Pelodiscus sinensis: one gene and its partner. The protein of the gene in region 1 interacts with the protein of each later gene in a biochemical or structural test. Links are inferred from orthologs where the notes say so. Each region holds a gene or a part of one and is shown in the gene's direction. Other genes may lie near its edges.

Region 1 (11,215 bases):
CTGAGGCTTTGCCAGAGCAAAGCCTCAGAGGCGCGGCACCCCGCCGCCGCTGCGGCTTTGCTCCCCGTGTCCCTGGTCTGCTGGGGGGGCGGGGCGCAGCTAGTGCCCCCCCCCAGCAGACCAGGGAGACGTGGAGCAAAGCCCCGGGCCTGTGGTAGAGCAGGTGGGGCGCTGCCGGTTGGTCCCGCAGCACCGCTCCTTGGCGCTACTGGACCAACCCGGCAGCACCCCAGCTGCTCTGCCCCAGGAGTCCTGATTCAGCCGCTGCTGATCAGTTTCAGCGGCGGCTGAATCAGGACACCTGGGGCAGAGCAGCTGGGGTGCTGCTGGGTTGGTCCAGTAGCGCCGAGGAGCGGCGATGCTACTGGACCAACCCAGCAGCACCCCAGCAGCCCTGCCCCAGGCGTCCCCAAGTCAGCCGCTGCTGAAACTGACCGGTGGCTGACTACAGGAAGCCCCTGCCCCGGGGCTTCCTGGAATCAGCCGCTGATCAGTTTCAGCAGCAGCTGACTTGGGGATGCCTGGGGTTCTTAAGTTGAATCTGTATGTAAGTCAGATCTGGCGTCCAGATTCAGCCGCTGTTGAAACCGATCAGTTTCAGCAGCGGCTGAATCTGGACGCCAGTTCCGACTTACATACAGATTCAACTTAAGAACAAACCTACAGTCCTATCTTGTACGTAACCGGGGACTGCCTGTATCCTTATTAATACAAAGTATAATATTACAGGGATTTATCCACATTGTTGCTGTTCTACGCTTCTGTATGGTGGCTCTGTAGGGAACATACTCAACAGAGTTTTTCAGTTGAGAGAGAAGTTGGATTTATTAGTCCAGGCTCAAGGGAAAGAGGAATTCCGAAATGTGCTGACACAGTCAAATTTAGAACTTGCGTATCTTGTCGATATTTTTCGAATCTTGAACAAACTGAATCTTCAGCTGCAAGGGAAAGGTGCAAATCTGTTCTCTCACCAAAGCATCGTTAAGGCTTTTCTTGATAAATTGGAACTCTGGATCATAAGAGTCGAAGGCAATACGTTGGTTCAATTTCCATATGTGGATGCCATGCTCGGGGAAAAGGAAGCCATTCGGACGCAAATTCTCGATCATTTACAGAAGCTACAAGATTAATTCCAACGATACTTTTTGGAGGTGGACAGGACAAGGGATGGATTATCTTTCGTCAGGAATCCATTTACAACAGATGTTAATAGTGTTCCAGAGGATCTGCAGGAAAAATTCTTGGATCTGAAAAATGATTTTGCGGCTCAAGACATGTACCAGCAGTCTACCATAGAGAAATTCTGGGCCAGCGTGATCAGAAGTTACCAAAATCTGTCAGCACACGCAGTCAGATTTCTTTTGCCATTTGCATCAACTTATATGTGTGAGATTGGAATTTCGTGTTTGTTGCACGTTAAGTCCAAACAGAGGAATCGGCTTGCAGTGGAAAGCAATATTCGTTGTGCATTATCAAGTACCACTCCAAACATTGAAAAGCTTGTCAGTGAGAAGAGAATCCCTAAAATTTGTTAGTAAGAAATACATTTCAAATCAAAATATTTGTTGTCTGCTCTTTTTTATCATGTCTCAAAATGGAGGTAATCCATGAAAAATTTTTGATTGGCCTGGTGGTCCGTGAACTGAAACGAGTTGAGAACCACTACCTATGGGTAAGAGGATGGTGGGAAAAGTTCTTAGAGGGGGTTACTTTTACTTCTGGTCATGTGTCCATCTTGACCCCGAGAGTCAGGGGCATAGTAAACAGAGGTCAGGGGGTGCAGGTAATGTGTCCCTAACTTTGGTTCAGAAAATATGGTCATCATTATGTCTACACTGGCGGGTTCTTGCGCAAGAACATCATGTGCAAGGGTTCTTGTGCAAAAACATCGTGTGCAAGGGTTCTTGTGCAAGAACACATCCACACTGCCATTTGCTTTTGTACAAGAGCATCCATGGCAATGTGGATGCTCTCTTGAGCAAGAAAGCTCTGATGGCCATTTTAGCCAAAGGGCTTTCTTGCACAAGAAACCCCTGCCGCACGTCCACACTGCCCTCTTGCACAAGAAGGCTTTCATTTGTTAGAAAAGAGTGTAGCTCTTGTGCAAGAAGCCCTTTCTTCTGATGCCATACTGTAAATCTTCTTGCGCAAGAGCGGGCGAGCAGGTGTGGACGCTCTGTGGGTTCTTGTGCAAGAATCTTCCAGTGTAGACATAGTCCATATGCGGAGAAAACAGTTCAAATAGCCATCCTTTAAAGGGGCAAGCTTCCTTTTTTTTTTTTCCTTTTTTTTTGTGCTCAACAAAAATTCTTGGTGTTCCCCATAAACAAAAATTGTTTGGTGTTCCTCGGTCTTAAAATGTTTAAGAAACACTGATTTAGATGACCTATTGACGAACGTTCCAGGCCTGTCCTACTGACCAGTGTTCCCCATAAGTTGAATGCTGGGGCAACCACCCAGGAGAGATTCAAATGCTGCTCAGTGGATTAGCAGAGTGCCCAAAGCTGGCAGCATGTGCTTCTATTGGTGGTGCATCTCTGTACATGCCTTGGTGCACAGAACAACATTTATTCCACGCTGGTATAGAAAAAATGAGCAGGAAGATGAAGATTGAAATGCTCCATTGCACCCCCCCCTTCTTCCTGCCAAGGGAGGGGAAGAGCTGGTACAAACCATGGGAGTGAGGTGGCCCTGGGGCTTTTCAATTGGAAGCTGCTGGCATCGGCGCCTGGACACTCCCCCCCGCAGAACAGAGGCGATAGGGCGGGACGGCTGGCTGCACAGCGACATCACTGGGAAGGGGGGCGGGGAGGTTCTGTCCCTTTAAATAGCCACTTCTCCCAGGCGGCCACGCGGGGTCGCTAACGCCTTCGCGCTGACAGGGGCGCCCGCTGCATTGCGCATGCTCTCGCCTCCCACGCCGCGTGCGCATGCGTATTAACCCCCCCCGCCTAGCCGGATGTTCATGCCCCGCGCGTGAAAGCCACTCGCGCATGCGCGCTCCCCCGCGGCCCCGCCCAGAGACGGGGATGAGGCAGCCGTTGAGGGGCGGGGGTGGAGCAGGAGGCCGCCGAAGCGGCTGTAGGTCCGCGGGCTGCTGTTGCTCTGCCTCGGCGTTCGCCTCCGCCTGTGGGGTGGGGGTTAGGCCCTTCGCCGGCCTGAGGTGAGGGGGGCAGGCGAGGTGTGAGTGACAACGGGCAGCAGCCAATGGGAAGGTGGCTGTTGGCCCCGCCTTCGGCCTCCATCACGTGGGAAGGGCCCCAAGGGTAGAGGCGGGGCCGTTGGAAGGGGCAGAGGTGGGGGAGGGGTTACAGGCTTTACAGGCACCACGTGACTGCTGCTTATTCCCCTCCTCGCCCATCTGTGCTCTGCTCCCAGTGCTGGGGGAGGGGCTCTGGTCTGGGTGACAGGCCTGGCCAGGAGCAGGACCCTGCCATAGCCATGGGTGCTGTATCCCCGGCTTGTTTCTACCAGCACGGCTACGAATTTTGTATCTAGCATTCTGCACACTCGTGCCTGTCCGCAGGTATCCCTGTCCGTGGATGTAGCTGTGGTTATCTGTGGCTCGCTTTTGCAGAGGGGGATACGAATTTTGTATTGGTGCAAGACCCTAGCCATAAGCCTCAGCCCGTGCCTGCCCTGTTTTCCCCACTGCATGAAGACAGAAAGGAAAGTGGCACTATTAACTACCAAAGCTAAGAGAGTCGGTTTTGTGCTTCGCCCCTTACACCATCCTACTTCTCACACTACTGAGCTGCCACTCTTTGGCCAGAAATCACATTGGCTATTCAGCAAAGAAGCCAACTCCTCTGTGAAAAGTGTCCGAGGAATAGCCATTTACTCAGTGGCTACATCTAGATTGCATCCCTTTTTCGTAAAAGGGATGCAAATTAGAGGTATCGCAATTGCTAATGAAGCGGGGATTTAAATTTCCCCCACTTCATTAGCATAAAAATGGCTACCGCTTTTTTTCGGCACGCAGCTTTACCGGAAAAAAGCGCCAGTCTAGACGTGGATCTTTTGGAAAATAAAGCCTTTTCCGAAAGATCCCTTATTTTAAGAGGGATACAAAATGGCACCTTAGAGCAGAAGTGAGGAACCTAAGGCTCGGGGGGCCACCCAGCATTGGGGAGCCTGCACTGTGTGGCTCACAACTGTTTTTTCTGTGGCTCAGTATAGGGATTTTAAATATTAGTTAGTTGAATAGTTGATTAACCTCATGAATTCTTATTGGTTACTTGGCTATTCTGTAGTCCCCAGGGGTGGGGCTGATAGCCAATGTACCCCCTTCCACTCCACGCTGCTGCCTCTGCATCAGAGGCAGCAGCATGGGGAGCCAGGTAGGAACTGGTCTGCAAGGGGAGCCAGTTTAAAAACCAGCTACCCTCGTGGACTAGCCTGTCACCCCACACTGCTGCCTCTGATACAGAGGCAGCAGCGTGGGGTGGTAGCAGCCCATGTCAGGGGGAAGGGACTGGTCTGAGCTCCTGCTCCTGGTGCAGGGCTGCCTGCCCACCGAGCTTCTAATACACTTTAAATGCAGAGTTGCACCAATGGTAGGTCCTAGACCCAGCACAACTGAGCTGAGCTGCTGGTGAGCCTGCTAAAAAAAATTCTGGCAAAAAGTGGGGGGAGGAAATGCATGTAGTCTATAGCATTAAGTGATAAGCTTTTGCTTATCGGTTAAACAACTACACTATTACATCCCTAGGTCAGTGGCCGCTGACCAAAAAAGGTTCCCAACCCCTGCTTTAGAGATTAACAGATTTATCATGGTAAAAGCTTTTGTGGGTAAAACCTACTTAATCAGGTGAATTGGAGTGTAAGTCACAGCAGCAGAAGTGTATATAAGGAAGGAGTTGCTTGCGTTAATGAAGCTAATCAAGTCTAGGTGAAAGTGGGTCTTTCATAGCATTTGTTCTGAACATGTGAATATTCAGAGAGGGGAAATTGCCTTTGTAATGTGTTGTACTTCTCTGTGAGCAGCCAGCTAAGAGGGAGTTTCTGGTAACATACAGCTACCATCAGCAACTAACTGGTACTTCTCCCATAGCCAGGGAAAAAAGAGGGTCCCAACAGTCTACCCTGGATGGTTGTAGAAACTATGATCACTGTGACAAATTTCCAACTCCTAGCAGCAGTGAATTACATCTGTAGGATTTTCTTCACAATAAAGAGTGCTGAAATGTTAGCCTCCCTCCTCCAAAAATTAACAAAGGCTAAGACAGAAATTGTTGCAGAGTCACACACAACACCTAGCAGGAGGATTAATGAAGCTAACTCAATACTATACCCCCAATAGGTCCTGTAACAATTATTCTTACCGACTCTCCTTTTCAACATATATATGAGACCCATTGGAAAGATGATGAAATGCTCTGGGTTTTAATTCTGCTCTCTCTGATGGTGTGCAGCATCTTTTTGTCAGCAAAGAAGTATGAACTCTTGTGTTCTAGATATACAGATTACAATATTGGCTGAAAGACCAGTCCATCTTACCAGGAGCAATTTCTTGTGAATGAGTATGTATCAATTGTAATCAACTTTCTCCTTGCTTCTGTTAACTGCTGTAACTCCACTTGGGCCTGAAGGTGAATACATAGAAACTCGTACAGCATGCAGCTGATTTTCTTTAAGGAATCCCCTTTTGCTCCATTCATCTGAACAAGTAGGTTGTGCCCAAGGAAGCTCACCATACGATGTATATTTTTTGTTAGTCTTTGAGATGCTACCGGACCACTTGTGTTTTTTATTTTTTTTTAAAGTTACAAACTAACATGGCTACCCCACTAAGACTGTCAAGAACCAATCACACTGGGACTTAGCATAATCCAATGGCTCCCAGTTCACTCTGGTACATAAAAACAACCACCATAGCAGTCCTGCATGCGGGAATTTCTGTCAGGGGTGTGTGCACTTTTTTGAAAATGTGGCCCACAAGGGTGTGAATGCACTTCCCCTCCCATCTTTCCCCAAATAAATGGGGAAATCAGCCCCAGTCTTCCCTGACTGGTCAGAGCTTGGGCGGTGCACTGTCCCTACCTTCCCCTGGCTGGCTGGAGCATGCTTATTTGGGGGATCATAGGGGGGTGCTTTCACACCCTTCACACACACCCTGCATATGGGCCTGCACAGTGAGCTAGCCCAAAAGCTTGTCCTCTTACAGTGATCACTGCCAGATTCTTCAGAACAAATGAACAGAGCAGGGCAATTAACAAGCTGCTGATTCCCTGTTAACCACTCAGCTTCTAGCAGTCAGAGGTTTAGTGTCAACAAGAGCATGACCCTGACCACCTTAGCTAATAGCCAATGGTGGACTTATCCTCCAGGAATTGATCTACATTATTTTTGAACCCAACTGATAATTCAGATACATGAATATCAATCTTTTATTTTACAAAACACTAAGACTAGATCTTGATTATTTTGGAGATCACCTTGACATCTGTGACCTTGTGAAACACTGTGCTTCAAGCCAAGGGAATACTCTATCTGAGAGTCCAGGTGAAACTTGCAAGAGCAGACCCCTCAGCACAGTTTTCAACAGGAGCCCCTCAAGGGGGGGATGTAAGAACCAGTCCAAGCCTCTTTGCCAAGAGAATGGATTTTAAACAAAACAGCCATAAAAACCCAGGTCCATGTAAAGTGTCAGAGCAAAGTATGTTGGTCAGGTAGATGCTGTGTTGAGGGCTTACTGCAATGCTGGAGAGAAAAGGCAGCTTGCTATGTTTAGTTCCAAAGATCTGGGGTCTGGTAAGGGGGTGGGGCAAGGGAAGGGTTAGAAGACTAGTGAGGGAGGGACAAGAGGGATGGGGAGCAGGGCAGCTCAATGCATCTTGTGGGAGGATCAGGGAGTAGCCTACGTGCTGAGTCAGTAGTTGTCTTTCTCCTCTGCAGCTGGTCCGAAAGGGGCGGTGAACAGATTTCCCAGGCCAGAGCTTTCTCCCGGCAGCTACTGTAGGGGGTGAGTACAAACACGGATGTATGCTCTCTCTCCAATGTGTATTCTGAGGGGAAGCCTATGTATCCTGTTTGGTACAGATCCTTGTACAAAAGAGATGAGGCCACTCTGCTGCTTCCCCTTGTAGGACCTAGGACAGGGTGGAAATGGGGCAGAGAGAAGTTGCTTTGGTAAAATCATAGAACAAAATAAAATGCTTTTAATAAAGAGCAATGAGATGAAAGTGACTGCAGTTGGTGACTTAACTACCTGGTGATTTTTCTGTGGCACTATAAGGTTTCCTAATACAAGTAGTTACAGAAAGCTCTGAATACAGGAAGCCATGGCCCCCCCTTTGGCCTATAGATGTTGACTGTATAGATGTGATGGCAAAACACTGAAAAAGAGTGTATCTGGGACACATTTCTATAGAGTTATTTCTGTTCTTACAATACTCTAGGGGTCGTTAGTAATATTTCAGGGTTTCCCTGAAGAGTGCCAAGTCTCTCTTTTTTGATCTGAGGAAGTGGGTCTGGCCCAGGAAAGCTCATCACCTAATAAACCGTCTTGTTAGTCTTTAACTACATAGTCCTGTTTTTTGTTTCAAGTCTCTCCCAGTGAGATCTGTGTTTGTATGCATTCCCTTTCCTTGGAAACCTCCCTCTGCAATGATTAATTACACCCGAAGTAAGGCAGCATAGATTGAATGTGCTTCCAATCTTTCCTTGCTTTTCCTGGGCACCCTGAAACTATTCTATGACTTCCTCTCCCTATCTTTGCTACCAGAGTAGGGTTGAGGGTGTGGGACTCCAGTAAAATGCAGAAGAGGTCTGTAAAGGATTCCCTACGGTGGTAGCGGCACTCAAACCTAGCAAAGAGGAACTGTGCACCTTCAATGCACCTGGAAGCTTGTGAAACTCAGCCCAGGGATAATCCTCTCTGGAATGGAAAAAGGAAAATCATGTTGTAAAGCTTTAACCAGCTCCCCCGTGCTGGCTGCCAACTGCTATTGTTCTAAACTGAGCCTCTCTAATTATTGGAAAATGTTACTTGACAGGAGTGAGAGAACGGTGCATTGTTCTTTTAGTGCGCAAGCCAATATTTCAAGGGACCTCACCCAGTAGTACCGGTCCCTTTAAAAAAAAAATCAGGAAGGGCTTTGATCTTCTCCGGGAGGCGGGGAGGAAGGGGGCGTGCGGGAAGGAGGGTTCTTTGCGTTACTGCAGCAGAGCGGAGCTGCATGCACCACTCAATCAAGGTAATGGAGGAACAAGCGGAGGGTGAGCTCTTGGGGCTTCAAAGCCTCTTTGCTTTCAAATTTCCAGCCTGCAGGGTCGCGCCGTCGCTGCAGCAAGAGCTGCTTTTTCTTCTCAGGCTTAGTCTGAGACTAAGCAGCTGGGGCTGGCTGGCTACCGAGCCTTTGGTGACCTTCTGCAGAGGTATAGAACCCCTCGACCTTCTGCGCAGCTACATCACAAAAGAGCTTTCAGGCTTTTCCTAGGTCATGGAGAGGTGGCTGAACTGCTTGCGTTTCATGTGACTTGTGGCTGTTTCAGAAGCAAGTCCAAGGGGTTTCAGCCTAGGGCTCGTCGAAATGGATGGCTTTCCATCAGTTTTCTGAGCTTCTGCCTAGGGTGTAACCGCAGACGCTCCAGGGTCTCAGTGTAGGAAGAAGCTACTGATGTTAATGCCCCAAATGTGAGTATAATGTTGTGTTAACAGTTTACTTGCCTCTCTTTTCCCTCTGAAGATTGTCTGCTCCACATTCTGAGGTTTGCCTTGACCCCAGAGGAAAGCAGAGCCTGGAACTGGTAAGCACGCTGGTCAGCTCGTGTTCTGGACCATGGACTCGATGAGAATCCCCCTAATGTGAAAATGTCGAACACTAACAGGGAATTAGTGATTGACTTCCTCTCCTACAAGCTATCGCAGAGGGGACACAGCTGGAGCTGGTTCGAGGGGGAGGATGAGATCAGGACTGAGGCTGCAGAAGAGGCGGAGATGGCAAGCGTCCCTAATGGGAGTCCATCCTGGCATCCAGGTGCCAGCCACGTAGTGAACGGGGCTGCCGGGCACAGTAACAGCCTTGAAGCCCATGAAAGGGTTCCGGCAGCCGAAGTGAGGCAGGCGCTGAGAGAGGCAGGAGATGAGTTTGAATTGAGGTATCGGAGGGCTTTCAGTGACCTCACTTCCCAGCTCCACATCACCCTGGGCACGGCTTACCAGAGCTTCGAGCAGGTGGTGAATGAACTCTTCCGGGACGGAGTGAACTGGGGGCGCATTGTGGCTTTTTTCTCCTTTGGAGGAGCCCTGTGCGTGGAGAGTGTGGACAAGGAGATGCAGGTGTTGGTGGGACGCATCGCCTCTTGGATGACCACTTACCTGACTGACCACCTTGATCCCTGGATCCAAGAGAATGGCGGTTGGGTAAGAATATGTCTCGCGTCCAAGGGGACGCGCTCCCCCTCATCCGACCTTATTGACAACTGTTGTACAAGTCTGCTTAAAATGTAACTGGCTGAGTGCCTTGTGCATGGTAGTAATGGTCTTAGATGTCCCTAGGGAAACAGACAGCTCGAATGGGCCTTTTTCCCCTTTCTTAGCGGTTTGCCACAAGGGGTCACTCCATTTTGGCAGAACAATCCAGACTGGTACCATGCCTGCCATCCAGGCTTGTCTGAATCCCTCTGCTTCTTAGCCTCCTTGGATGTTGGAGAAACCCTTTTGGCGTCCCGGTCATCCAGGATTGCTCCTGATGTTCCTTAGCATGACCGACAGTAGTCGGGAACCCAGCTCAGGACTGAATCTTCCTTCCACCTTTGTCCTAAAATGCCAGGGGTAGGCTTTGAAGCGGAGTGGGATGACATGCTAGCTCTTCTCCTCTGAAGACTAGAACTCCCCTTCTGATTTGCTCACCAATAGAGTAGGCCTTCTTCCCCGGGGTATTTGTCCTCCCCATTGTTTGAGAATTGAAGTACATAGCTAGAACTACCTGAAGAGAGGCAGCTAATACTCCTGCTGTATGCCTGGCTCCAATCACAGTTGTTTTCCCCTGCTTGCCTGAGCACCGAGCTTGTGGACACTTTTAGTGGATTTGTGCTTGCACCAGAAGGCCTGCACTATGGACGTGTTAGGTCCACGGGATGTGGGGCTTGATTCTCTACCATGGTAGCGAGGCCTATAAGAGTACAGGGAGGACAGTGCCAGCTACTCGAATTTAAGCAGTGGAGTTTTGTTTCCCTTGCCCATTGAGGAGCTGTGGTTTTGGGACTAGTGTTCACTTTCCCAGCCCGGCAGGTACCTCCCCCTGACAGGTAGAGGGGACTTCAGGAAGTGCAGGGGAGTATGGAGACAAGATTGCTCCAGCCCAGCCTTGCCCTGCAACTGCACCTGCCACAGGTGAATTGGAGCTGGCCTCTTGGCGCTCACCCAGCACTGGACCCAGGACACGAAGCCTTGCTGAGGCAGGAGGAGGATGTGCGCTCCAGCCCAGGAATGCTTGGAATGCAATCTGCCTGGGGCACTGCCTGGGGTGTGGCTGCCCAAACAGACTGAATTTTGCTTCACGTTAATAACCAAGGCGCTCATTCGCCAGCTCAGCAGGTGGTCTCTGGCCCATGAGCTCTCTGGCCCTGCGGGTCCTCCTAGCAGAGCTGAAGCTGGGTTTCATCCCTCCCCTCTCCAGGGCTGGCTTTCAAAACTAGAGATTAGCTGTGGAATGGGGTGATCCAGTGGAGGTTTCCCAGGCTCTGTGGCTGTTGCTGCGGGTGACGATGGGGTTGTCTCCTGGAGACCTAGGCGATAATGCAATCTGATTTTGTAAATGAACTCCCTGGGAGATTTAGATTAAATCACTGATGGAAAGTCACTGGTCTCTGCTTGTTGGGAATGCAGTACCCCTCCCCCGCCCCAGCCAAGTATCACAGCTTGGTTGCTTTGTGTCTGAGCACAAATTCATTGTTTGAAACAAATATTTGTTCAGCAGATTGCATGAGGGGCAGGATTCCTTCCTTTCTGACACACCCACTGTCTCCTGCTCTTAAGATGGCTAAGAGCTGCTGTTTTGGCTAGACAGAACAGCAGTTTTGCTCCGAGCTGGTATCCCTGTGTTTATTTTTAGCTACCCTGGCTGGCTTGTATCATTTGTGGCAAGCTGGCCCAACTGTGTAACACACTAATTTGCACAGGGAGGCGGTGCAGATGCCCAGAGAGGAGGTCTGGGCTGTTTCTGTAGAAAAATGTAGGGTGCAGTTTCTGTGTGTCCATTACGGGGGC
Region 2 (10,395 bases), on another chromosome or scaffold:
CTTGCAACAGCTATATGTTGTCTCCCACCCACAACTTCCTCTTCCTGAATAGCTCTCCCTTATTTAACCACCTCCTGGCTGGTTATTGAAACCTGAGACACCTGTCTAATTTTGTTCTACTTCAGGTAACTTTCCCCAGCTCCTACTTTCCCCTTTCTTTCCGGAGGGGTAAATAATGCTGGTCTTCTAAGGATGCAGCTGTTCTTTAGCATAAGGGCAGCTGTTACAGATTTGATGGCTCCACATACAGATAGGCACTCAGGATACAGTAGCTTTTATAGGAACATTTAAAATATCCAGACTTCATGAGTTTGTATAGACAGCTTCCCAAATGCTCACTGGGATAGACATGGCAATATCCGGGCCAACCCATATTGAATTACACTGAAGAATGTTAGGAGTTCATAATCATTGTATTAAAAGAAAAAATGTTAATGTGTGAGGCTACGTCTACACTGGCCCCTTTTCCGGAAGGGGCATGTAAATTTCACCAGTCGTCGTAGGGAAATCCGCGGGGGATTTAAATATCCCCCGCGGCATTTAAATAAAAATGTCCGCCGCTTTTTTCCGGCTTTTAAAAAAGCCGGAAAAGAGCGTCTACACTGGCCCCGATCCTCCGGAAAAAGTGCCCTTTTCCGGAGGGTCTTATTCCTACTTTGAATAAGACCCTCCGGAAAAGGGCACTTTTTCCGGAGGATCGGGGCCAGTGTAGATGCTCTTTTCCGGCTTTTTTAAAAGCCGGAAAAAAGCGGCGGACATTTTTATTTAAATGCCGCGGGGGATATTTAAATCCCCCGCGGATTTCCCTACGACGACTGGTGAAATTTACATGCCCCTTCCGGAAAAGGGGCCAGTGTAGACGTAGCCTGACTGTGTATAACTTCTTTAAAGGGAACACTGGCCTACTGTAACCCCTAGGACATGCTATGAGCTTCAAACGACCATTTGAAGCAATGCACTAGCCAGGCTAGCATGTCTAATTGAGTGGATTTCCAGGGAAATACTTGATTGAAGGAGAATGCAAATTAGCCATCTTTGGGGACCCAGCCTTTTGAAGCCATCTCTGAGGAGAAACTTTTTGTTGAGCGCTTCTTACAGGAGGAGATCTGAGTCCCAAACTGGATAAAAGCATGACTTAGAGATTTAAAGGGGTGCTTGTTTTTATCAATTTATCCCCATAGTAAAATTCCTGTCTAGCTTTTCAGGACTGGTCAGCAGTAGAGCCCTTGTTAGACTAGCGGGATGATCCCTGGTAAGTTTTTTAGTATGCATGTAGGTTCTTTTAGTGGTTGTAATGTGTTTGCTCTGTAATCTTCACTACCTGAAGGATAAATGTGCTTGCTTTGAAATAGCTGTGTGGTAACTTTGCTATGACCAATTACACTGTTTGTAGCCTCTGTGAAGAAAAGCAAAGTTGACCTGCTTAGATGGTTAGACTTTGCTGAGAAATTTACAGTATAGGCAGAGAACCATGCAGCCTAGAAATACAGTGGTCAGGAGGGAGAGAGATGATGGCCATCAGAGGGGTGAAGGCTGAGGAGCCAGAGCCTAGAGTAGCTGCCCTCGCTAGAACATGAAGGGAGAATAAAGGTGTAGTTGCTCTGAATTGTGTCACACTATGCCATTTAATATACTTGGCTTCTTCTCACCAGGTGTCCAATATTGGCCCGGATAGTCCGGTATTTGCCTCCACTGTCTAGTAAAAAAACCCCAGAAAATACTGGACATATAAAATGTCCAGTATTTTCTGTTTTTCTCGGACGGAAGGCTGCTTGGGACATTCTTCCCCTGTCACATATGGCGGGGGCGGGGGGAGGGAGCAGGGACCATGGGAATTTAAAGGCACACTGACTGGGTTTTTTTTTGTGCGGTTGTTTGTTGTTGTTTTTTCGGTTGGTTGGGTTTTGTTTTTGGTTTTGCTCAAACAATTTTTTTCCGGACATGTTCTGTATTTTTTGTGAAAGTATCTGGCAACCCTATGTCTGTCCACACTTCTTGCATGATCCGTTAGCTGTTCGGAGTTTGTTGTGGTGGGGGAAGATACAGATACATCACTGTGGGAGTGGGATGGATCAGAAATTCTCTCTTTTCCCTGCTCTCTAAGCCCACGCCAACTTTCTTTGTAGTTTGGTTTCCTGTGCACAGCTGGGGAGAGGGTAGCGGGTAGTACACAATGCTGTATCACTACATTTCCAGGAAAATCACAATTATTTGTAGAGGAACCATTGTTCTTCACCAAACTGCACTGAAATACAGCCCCAGGGATTCGTGTGCAGCTTTTTTTTTTTTGAACTTGAGACAATAACAATGCTTATACAATCAGCACATGGCCACGTCACCTATTCTGATGTGCACTAAGGTATGATCAGGTTTACCAGCTTCCTAAAACTTGCTTTTCCTGTTAGCTGTGAGGAACTAGTGTCTTGTGATCGAGGAGTCAGATATTTGAAAAGGTATTCCCCTTTAAATGAGAGGATCCAGAAATGAAAGCAGTGAGCAAACAGAGCACTCTATGCAACAAGTGACTGCAGTGTGGGAGCCAGTTACTGCTGCATACGCCTCAAAGAGGAGCAAAAGGAATGGCAAACAGCTGTGCAAAGCACTAAGAGAACAAATACCAGGGCCCTCAAAGGAGGCGGGCATGAGGGACAAAGGAGGCAGTTGCCCCTAGGCCCAGCAATTTAAAAGAGCTCCAAGCTACCAGCTGCCACCATTGCTACCATGGCAGTGGCAGAACCTCAGGCCCTTTAAATCACGGTTGGAGCACTGTAAGGCACAGTCCAGGGGCAGTGAGAGCTGGAGGAGGAAGGCTAACCCTAACCCCCCCTTCTTCTGCCCAAGGCCCCACCTTTTCCAGAGCTAAGGTCCCCCACACACACATTGTCCAGGACCTGGCAAATCTGTCACCAGCCCAGTCAAATACTTCCGAGTAGCTCCAAAAAAAATTAAAAATGCAAACAGAAAAAAACAAACACACAAATGTGTCAAATAAACAAAAAAAACCCAAAACTTTTTCTGCCTGGAAGATTTATATCCTGCCTACCAGGGACTTTGCTCTTGACAATCTACTTCATGCTAAAGGTACTCACATACCATGGTGACGGGTAAAAGTCTCAGGAGTAGTTGTGTTTAGTCTGTAACTTTAAAAAAAGCTTAAAAAAGTAGTGGTCCTGTAGCACCTTAGAGCCTAACAAAAAATATAGATAGTATTATGAGCTTTCATGGGCACAACCCACTTCTTCAGATGACAAATATGATAGTGGTGTGATGATGAGTGGCAGTGTAAACCAGACAGACTGCCACAGAGGTCAATTAGCACCAAAACAAAAGCAGCTCTTTAGCGTCAAAACAGGGTTACAAAAGAGCCTTCTAGTTGTAAGCTTTGTGCCACCCTAAACAAACACCCTCTGCCTACTTGGTGTTTGCACCCTTCCTTCTTTTAGGGAAATAAACTTCCTATTTACTGGTGAATAGTCTTATCAGCAAACAGCAAACTTCTGGGAGGAGGAATGAAAGTGGATGCAGGGTGACCATCCTTCACTTCTAGGATTATTACTGGGCAGGATTTTAGACAAGGACTACACTGAGCCAAAGGCTGAAGTAATGGCTAACACACCTGCCAGCACACCATAGCTCCAAGTGGACATGGTGTACCTCCTTGGAGCACGGTTACTCTTCCGTCTCCCTGTGCATATACTGCTTTGGGCCTCCTATCTTAACATAAGAGCAGGAAGGTGCATTACACAGCCTTTCCCCCCACGTTCACATAAGTTCTGCTGCCCTAGGGTCAGGGAGAAATGGGTCAGGGAGCTTCCACTCCTTCTTCCCCTCCCCCGACCCCACTCAATGCATCAAGGACAGAATTTTGCCAGCATGTTTCTGAAACCAGCTGATGCTGTTGGACAATAAAGGTGGCACTACGATTAAGGTAAAACAGATGAAAACCTGGTCCTATTGACATCAATGGGAGCTTTGCTATGACTTCTGTAGGGCTAGGACTTCACCCAATCTGTGCAGTAAATATAACAGGTTAAAGTGCCTCTGAACAGAGCCAGTACAAATGGCCTGATAGTCAAGTATGTCCAGTCACCACTAATATAGTCAGCATCTGCAGGCATTAGGTACCAGAGGCTGTGGTTACATGGAGAGAATTATTATTTCTCATCAGCCATCATAGACACATATTATTGTCTGGCATTTTTCTCTGATTAGAAACTGCTTTGAGGGGTGAAGCCATCATTTTCTCTGTTAATGTCATTCACTGACAAATCCTGATTTTAAGAGGAATAAGGGATCTTCTGGAAAAGGCTTTATTTTCTGAAAGATCCCATCTAGACTGGCGCTTTTCTCCGGCAAAGCCCCGAGCCGGAAAAAAGCGGCAGCCATGTTCATGCAAATGCCGCGGGGGATATTTAAATCCCCCGCGGCATTTGCAATTCTGACTTGTCTCATTAGCATCCCTTTTCCGGAAAAGGGTGCCAAGGTAGACACAGCCACGGTGTCCGGGGAGCAAGAGCCCAGTCTTAGTTCCCTGGACAGCCAGCCAGGCAACACAGCCACAGTGCCCTCAACACCTGTGCATCAAGTGTGTAGGTGGCATGACTACTGCGCTGCCATTCCCAGTACAGCGGGTGGCACAGCTGCAGAGCCCCAAATCCCCATGCTCCAGGCAGTTGGGCAGAGGGGCTACAACACCTCCAGCCCCTGTGCACTAGGCAGTGTGGCCACATGCTCCGCATCGCTTCTAACCGAGGTGCTCAGGGCTATGTGGCTACGGTAGCCCCAACCCCAAAGTGTCAGGTATCTGGGTGGTACAGTCTGAGCACTAGGTGGGCAGCGCAACCCCAGCATCAGTCCCTATGAAACAGAGCCCAGCCCCACCCAGAGCAAAGCTGGCAGTAAATGTCAGGAGAGTGCCCGGCCTAGGGATGGAGCCAGACTGCTTGGGGAGGCACAACCTTCATCGCCCATGTATTATAAGGTTGCCAGATACATTCACAAAAAATACCGAACATGTCAGGAAAAAAATTGGTTGAGCAAAAAACAAACACAAAAAACCCCAACTGCAGCAGGGGAAGAATGTCCCAGAAAAACAAAATACTGGACATTTTACATGTCAAGTGTTTTCTGGGGTTTTTTTTAACCGGACAAAGGCAGCAAATACCAGACCCTGTGGGCCAATACCGGACACCTGGCGACTCTAATGCAGGGCTAGGATAGAGACAGCTTAAGCTCAGCCAGGGCTCCTCTGGGCCAAGACCTGAGCCAGGCTTTATTGAGATGCCCTGAGGACCGCCCAGTGAGCCTGGACTTGGGAAATGCATTTTGCAGCCTGATCCAATTCCGAGCCCAGTGCCCAGGGCTCAGTGCCTGACAGCGCTAGACCAGGCTCAGGGAGGATGGCCGCTCTGCAAGGCTCAGGCAGGGCTTGGGGACTTGGGGACAGTCAGGGCTGCGGATCTGAAACCATCTCCCATAGCTCCCGCCTAAGCCCAGGGCGCCGCCAAGGAGCGTGCCAGGCCTCACACCGCGGCCGCTGCTCGTCAGGTGGCTCCTCGCACCGCCTCCCGCGGGCCCGGGGAGGAGGGGAAGCCGCCAGTCCACGCTCCGACTAGGGCAAGTCCAGGCGCGCCCGGCAGCAGCCGCCACGTGCCCGGGCGCCGAACCAACTTGCCGCAGCACGCCAGCCCTGCCGGCCGCTGATTGGCTGAGAGCAGGGCCGCGGAAGGCGGGATTCCCTTTTGCTTTTCTTACCTCATCCCAGGCTGGGAAACCCCCCCAGGCAGCGGCACCTTTATCGCGCGGCGGCGAGTCGCGGGCAGCCAGAGCCCCTGAGGCCAGCGAGAGGAGCGCGTCGCTCGGCACCGTCCTGCGCCTGACACGGTCCCAGGCAGCTTGATCGCAGCTCCCCGCGGGTCCCGACCGGCAGAGCGAAATGATGCCCGGAAAGCCCCTGCGCAAGGGCGCGCAGCAGCCCCCGGCTCCCGCTGCAGGTACCGTGGGCGCCCGGGGACTGAGCCGGCCTCAGACCCGCGCTGGAGACTGATGATCGCGGGCTAAAGCCGTGCCGGGGACTGGGGGGGTTAGAGAGTTTCGCTGCGTTGGGGGCGGTTTTGCTTTCAGTTCCCTGCGAGCCGGGTAGGTTTCGGTTTCCCGCTCGCCGGTGGCCAAGGTAACAACCAGGATTTGGTAACTTCTTGCGCAGCGGGCCCTGGGGTGGGTGAGCCAGAAGGAAAGCTGGACGGGTGGTGTGGCCCGATGGGGCTGTGTCATTAGAGGCTCCGTACAGGGGTCAGTGGCTCAGATCGGTGTCGCCTGATACAGGAGCCAGCCTCATCCACGTTTTAGCGGGTCTCACCAGAGCTAGGTGCGCGGCCCCCAATTCTGGGCTCGATTTCCACCGCCACCCAGCTTTGGGGACGTTAGGCTCCAGGTTGTGAGTTCTAAGTTCCTTCCCCCCCCCCCCCCCCCCGCCAAACCCGGGCCTGTAAAATCATTGTAATGACCCCTCCTTGGAGAGTTCGAGTCTAGTTTCACAGCTATTTTTGCCAGCGAATTTCATTTTTTTTTTCAGAGAACAGACGCTCCTGTTGTCTGAAACAGCCGAGGCGGCTGTTTAACTGTACAATCTAGCGAGATCAGAACAGTTATTCTCTGTGACATGTCCTGGGATCCGTGCTAAATTCAAAAAAATGTTCAAAGAGTAGCACTGACACTTAGGGTAACATTTCTTGTGCAAACTATGGAATGGGAACATTTTATTACATTCTCCCCTGCTAAGAAGCTAGAGACCTACCAAAAGTTTTTAAAGGTTTCTGAGTTTTTATTTTACAATTTGAAAGGTTTTGAAACTGTAAATTTATGTTATCAGCTGTGTAAGCAACAGTGTACCTTTAACATGCCTCTTGTCCTCTGGTGTGAGATAAATGATAATATAAAAGCTATTGCCTGTAGACAAGGAAGTCGATAGATTGGTACAGAAACAGGATTTATGGTACAGAATTACCAAAGCTGAGGGCTGGTATTCCTTTGTTTTTAACAGAGCAAGAATCTATAATCCAATGTGCTTTGCAACTGAGAAAAATAGGAGATATTCTGAATTTGCAGCAGAAGATTCTGAATGTGATTACAAAACTGTTCTGCCCAGGAACGTGAACACTCTTTGGAGATGGCAAACAGAAAAGAAAGGAAGAAAACAATGGCTTTGGAAAATACGGTCTTTACAAGCCTGTGAAAAGCGATTTGAATGAAATGAGAAGATGGAATGAGCATTACTTACACTGATTGTTCCCACGGAAGGAAAGCTGTCGAAATAGACTTTTTCTGGAGAGCTCCACAGATGCATTTTCTGGTGGATGTCTGTGGGGGAAAACATTGGAATTAATTATTCCAAAGACTGACCTGTGGAGTGAATTAGAAGAGCAAGGAACCATGGCTTCTCATATGATAAGTGTGTTGATGTCCCACTTCATGAGATGCATCTAGTTCTATTGCACAGGCAGAAAATGCCAGTTACCTCCAAACACTGGATTGGAATGTACAATGAAAATTAAGTTCTTGGTTGTTTTTGTTTTCTAAAATGTAGACTCTGTTGGACAAAGCCTCGTGTGGAACATTATTCTTTTTTTATTGAAGCACATTTTCTATCCATGATGTAATTTGTTATACAGGTGTTTCTCTAATAAATAACATTGTAATTCTGTTATTTACAAGGTTGCTGCATGGCTCTATAATGTATATACATGCATGAAAAGAGTATTTCATGGAATTTAAATAGATGGTTATACACCAGAAATAGTGTAGATAACTATTCAAATGGTGCTATAAAGAATGCATTAAAAATTAAAGGAAGCATGGTAGCTTCTTGTGATTAAGAAAGTATAGCATACAGTCAGTATTCTAAGAAAATTACTGAATAAGGAAATGTAATATATTAAAGCATGTATTATATCACAAAATAAGTTAGAGAGGTGTGCAAGGTTGAAGGAGGATTCCTTCACATCATCAGAAGGGCTATTTAAGCAGAATAAGCTACTGTTTTAATTTTATTAGTTGGTAATAAAATTACTCTCAGAACAAATAGAAATTTAAACTAAAATGGAATCTGCAGTTTTCTGGAGAAAAAACATGAATTCTTTTTTTCAAAAGCAACTGCTTGGATAAAGAGATAGCCATAAAGCTGAATGTTGCAATAGTTATCAGAAAGCAATGTATTGCTTCTAAATGAAAGCTAAGACTTGGGAAATAAAGGTTAAGAAAAAAAATCTCAGCTCTCGTTTGGTGTCAAACCATTTTTGTTTGTAATTATGAACGAAGAAGCTATTATTTTGTCTAATGGATAGTGATGTTAGTGAAATGTTTGTTATAGCCTTATTGACAAGCTACATTTGTGTATGGCTTGGAGAATAGACTTGCTCTGTCATTCAGGCCCCTAAAAAGCAATTTTTCTGCTTATATATTTTAAAAGCCCCATGAGTCAAATTCAAGAGACAGTGCAACTGTCTTAGGCTTAAGACATTCCTAAGCCAAATTAATCAGTCTTAAATGATGGGCTAAATTATACATGGGGCGTATGAATAGTATGAAAATATTGTAACTTGCCTAAGTTTGGTATTATTTTGGTGTGCAAAATAAGGGTCAGTTTCAGGCAGAAAGAAGATGGAGTAAGAAAAATCACTTGAATTCTCACTCTTGCTTCTACTGCACTTTCTTTTTGCATAAAATTGCATCTGTCGTATTACCTTCTGAAAGCCAGATCAGAGCAAGTTATACTATTTCACTGCTTGCATCCATTAGGCGATCCTTTGCCTTTCGTGTGTAATTAATTCCATGCTAGATCACCAATTAATTTGGTCCTATGATGTTTCACGAATCTGTTTTCCTTTTGTGTTTTTACTGTAAAACTCTTTCAGTACCAAGGGCCAAGTATCCAGCTATCTGATTTGCTGACACTGATGTCATTTGGGATTATCTCAGCAGATGCTGGGGTTTTGTTTTTTGTATGTAAAGGGCCCAATCTGGCTCCCAGCAAAGGCACTTTTGCATTGGCTTGAATGAGAGCAGGAGTGGGTCCAAACATACAAGGTTTCCTCCTCTATGAGCTATCAGTTATTGTGTTCTCAGTGAGAATGTAGCATTTTGGGATGGGATTGTTTTATCCACCATGCCACAAGCTAATGTGACAAACATGAACTTGCCTCCCTAGAGGTACAGAATCCTATCTCGTTCAAAAGCACTTTTTCAGTTATTAAAGGGTGACTGTTTTCCTTTCTGCTATGCCACATTTTAGCTCACGGAATAACTCCATGAGACTAAGCAAAGCTGTTCATTCACGGTTTGCTCTAACGGACACTGAAATCAATGAAAAAAGGCTCCCTGTGGTTTCTGTGTAATTGAATAAAATGCCAGTGAGGTCAATAATAGTTATGTCAGTGTAAGAATCACAGGAAAGTTTAGCATTAAGGCATTGGGTGTTCAGCTCAATATATGCAGCCTTACAGTTAAATAAGATGCAACCAGGGTTTCAAATGGCCCCCATCAGTAGTTCCAGGCTGTAAGCAGAAATAATAGCATAAAGCAGTGAGAATGAACTGTGTAAATGTCACGGAGGCATTTCAGCTAGGAGGTGTGTGCAGCACTTTATTATACAGATTTCTAATGGCAATGTTTACTTTTGATGGAATGTTTTTATGTTGCTACATTCTAGTGTGTGTTTATTTGGTGATTGTTTAATGTTACATCACTCAGTCTGTTCAGAGTCAATGCAAAAGAAGAATTAGTTCAAAGTGACTAATATCTGTATATAATCTACAGTCTGGTTTTGTATTGTCTGGGCACAGATCCCTTGCATTACTTTTCAAAATGATGTGGCCTGACTGTATCAACATGAAATTGTTTTTCTCAAGGCATTTTTGGAGTTATGGCTTGATGTATTGTTATATGTCTTCATAAAGTGTGTCTGTTATTATCTCATTACGATAATAAACATGATATGTTTACAAGCAAATTATTCTTTATTGTAGAATCTTTTTTCTAATGATTCTGAATGAATGGTCATATTCCAATTCCTTCTGAAATAGGAGTTTAAGGTCACACTCAATCATTAAATACCTTCCAGTAGACTTGCAGTGATGTATTGGATTTTATTTTATGATACCGTAGATATCTGCTAGGTGGAAGCACAATTGCTCAGTTGTGTGTCAGTAGCCCTATACTGCTAACAGTTAGCTTCTCCTTTAGCTCAAAGGTTAGGGGAGCAAGACACACTATTTATTTAGCATCTGTTAATCTGAGTATGAAAGCAGTATCAAATGATCACCCCACAAAGCATAATCACCCCACAAATGACCCCATGAAGTGGCCACGAGGGGCAGCCTAGTGACAACAGTGAAGTCT

Evidence for each region.
Region 2: the proteins of BCL2L1 (region 1) and PMAIP1 interact in a biophysical measurement, tested with the Homo sapiens proteins (3 studies listed by BioGRID and IntAct, with this or other methods). The link is inferred for Pelodiscus sinensis from reciprocal best matches to the Homo sapiens genes BCL2L1 and PMAIP1.

Annotation. Positions count from the first base shown.
Region 1 is NC_134728.1:1,755,347-1,766,561, forward strand, and holds the start of BCL2L1 (bcl-2-like protein 1), read left to right. Parts: upstream 1-6,878; 5' UTR 6,879-6,964; intron 6,965-8,110; exon of another isoform or gene 8,111-8,220; intron 8,221-8,228; exon of another isoform or gene 8,229-8,379; intron 8,380-8,690; 5' UTR 8,691-8,815; coding exon 8,816-9,367; intron 9,368-11,215. UniProt on the Homo sapiens protein: Potent inhibitor of cell death. Inhibits activation of caspases. Appears to regulate cell death by blocking the voltage-dependent anion channel (VDAC) by binding to it and preventing the release of the caspase activator, CYC1, from the mitochondrial membrane.
Region 2 is NC_134716.1:108,982,641-108,993,035, reverse strand, and holds PMAIP1 (phorbol-12-myristate-13-acetate-induced protein 1), read left to right. Parts: upstream 1-5,627; 5' UTR 5,628-5,935; coding exon 5,936-5,993; intron 5,994-6,046; exon of another isoform or gene 6,047-6,172; intron 6,173-7,042; coding exon 7,043-7,155; 3' UTR 7,156-10,025; downstream 10,026-10,395. UniProt on the Homo sapiens protein: Promotes activation of caspases and apoptosis. Promotes mitochondrial membrane changes and efflux of apoptogenic proteins from the mitochondria. Contributes to p53/TP53-dependent apoptosis after radiation exposure. Promotes proteasomal degradation of MCL1.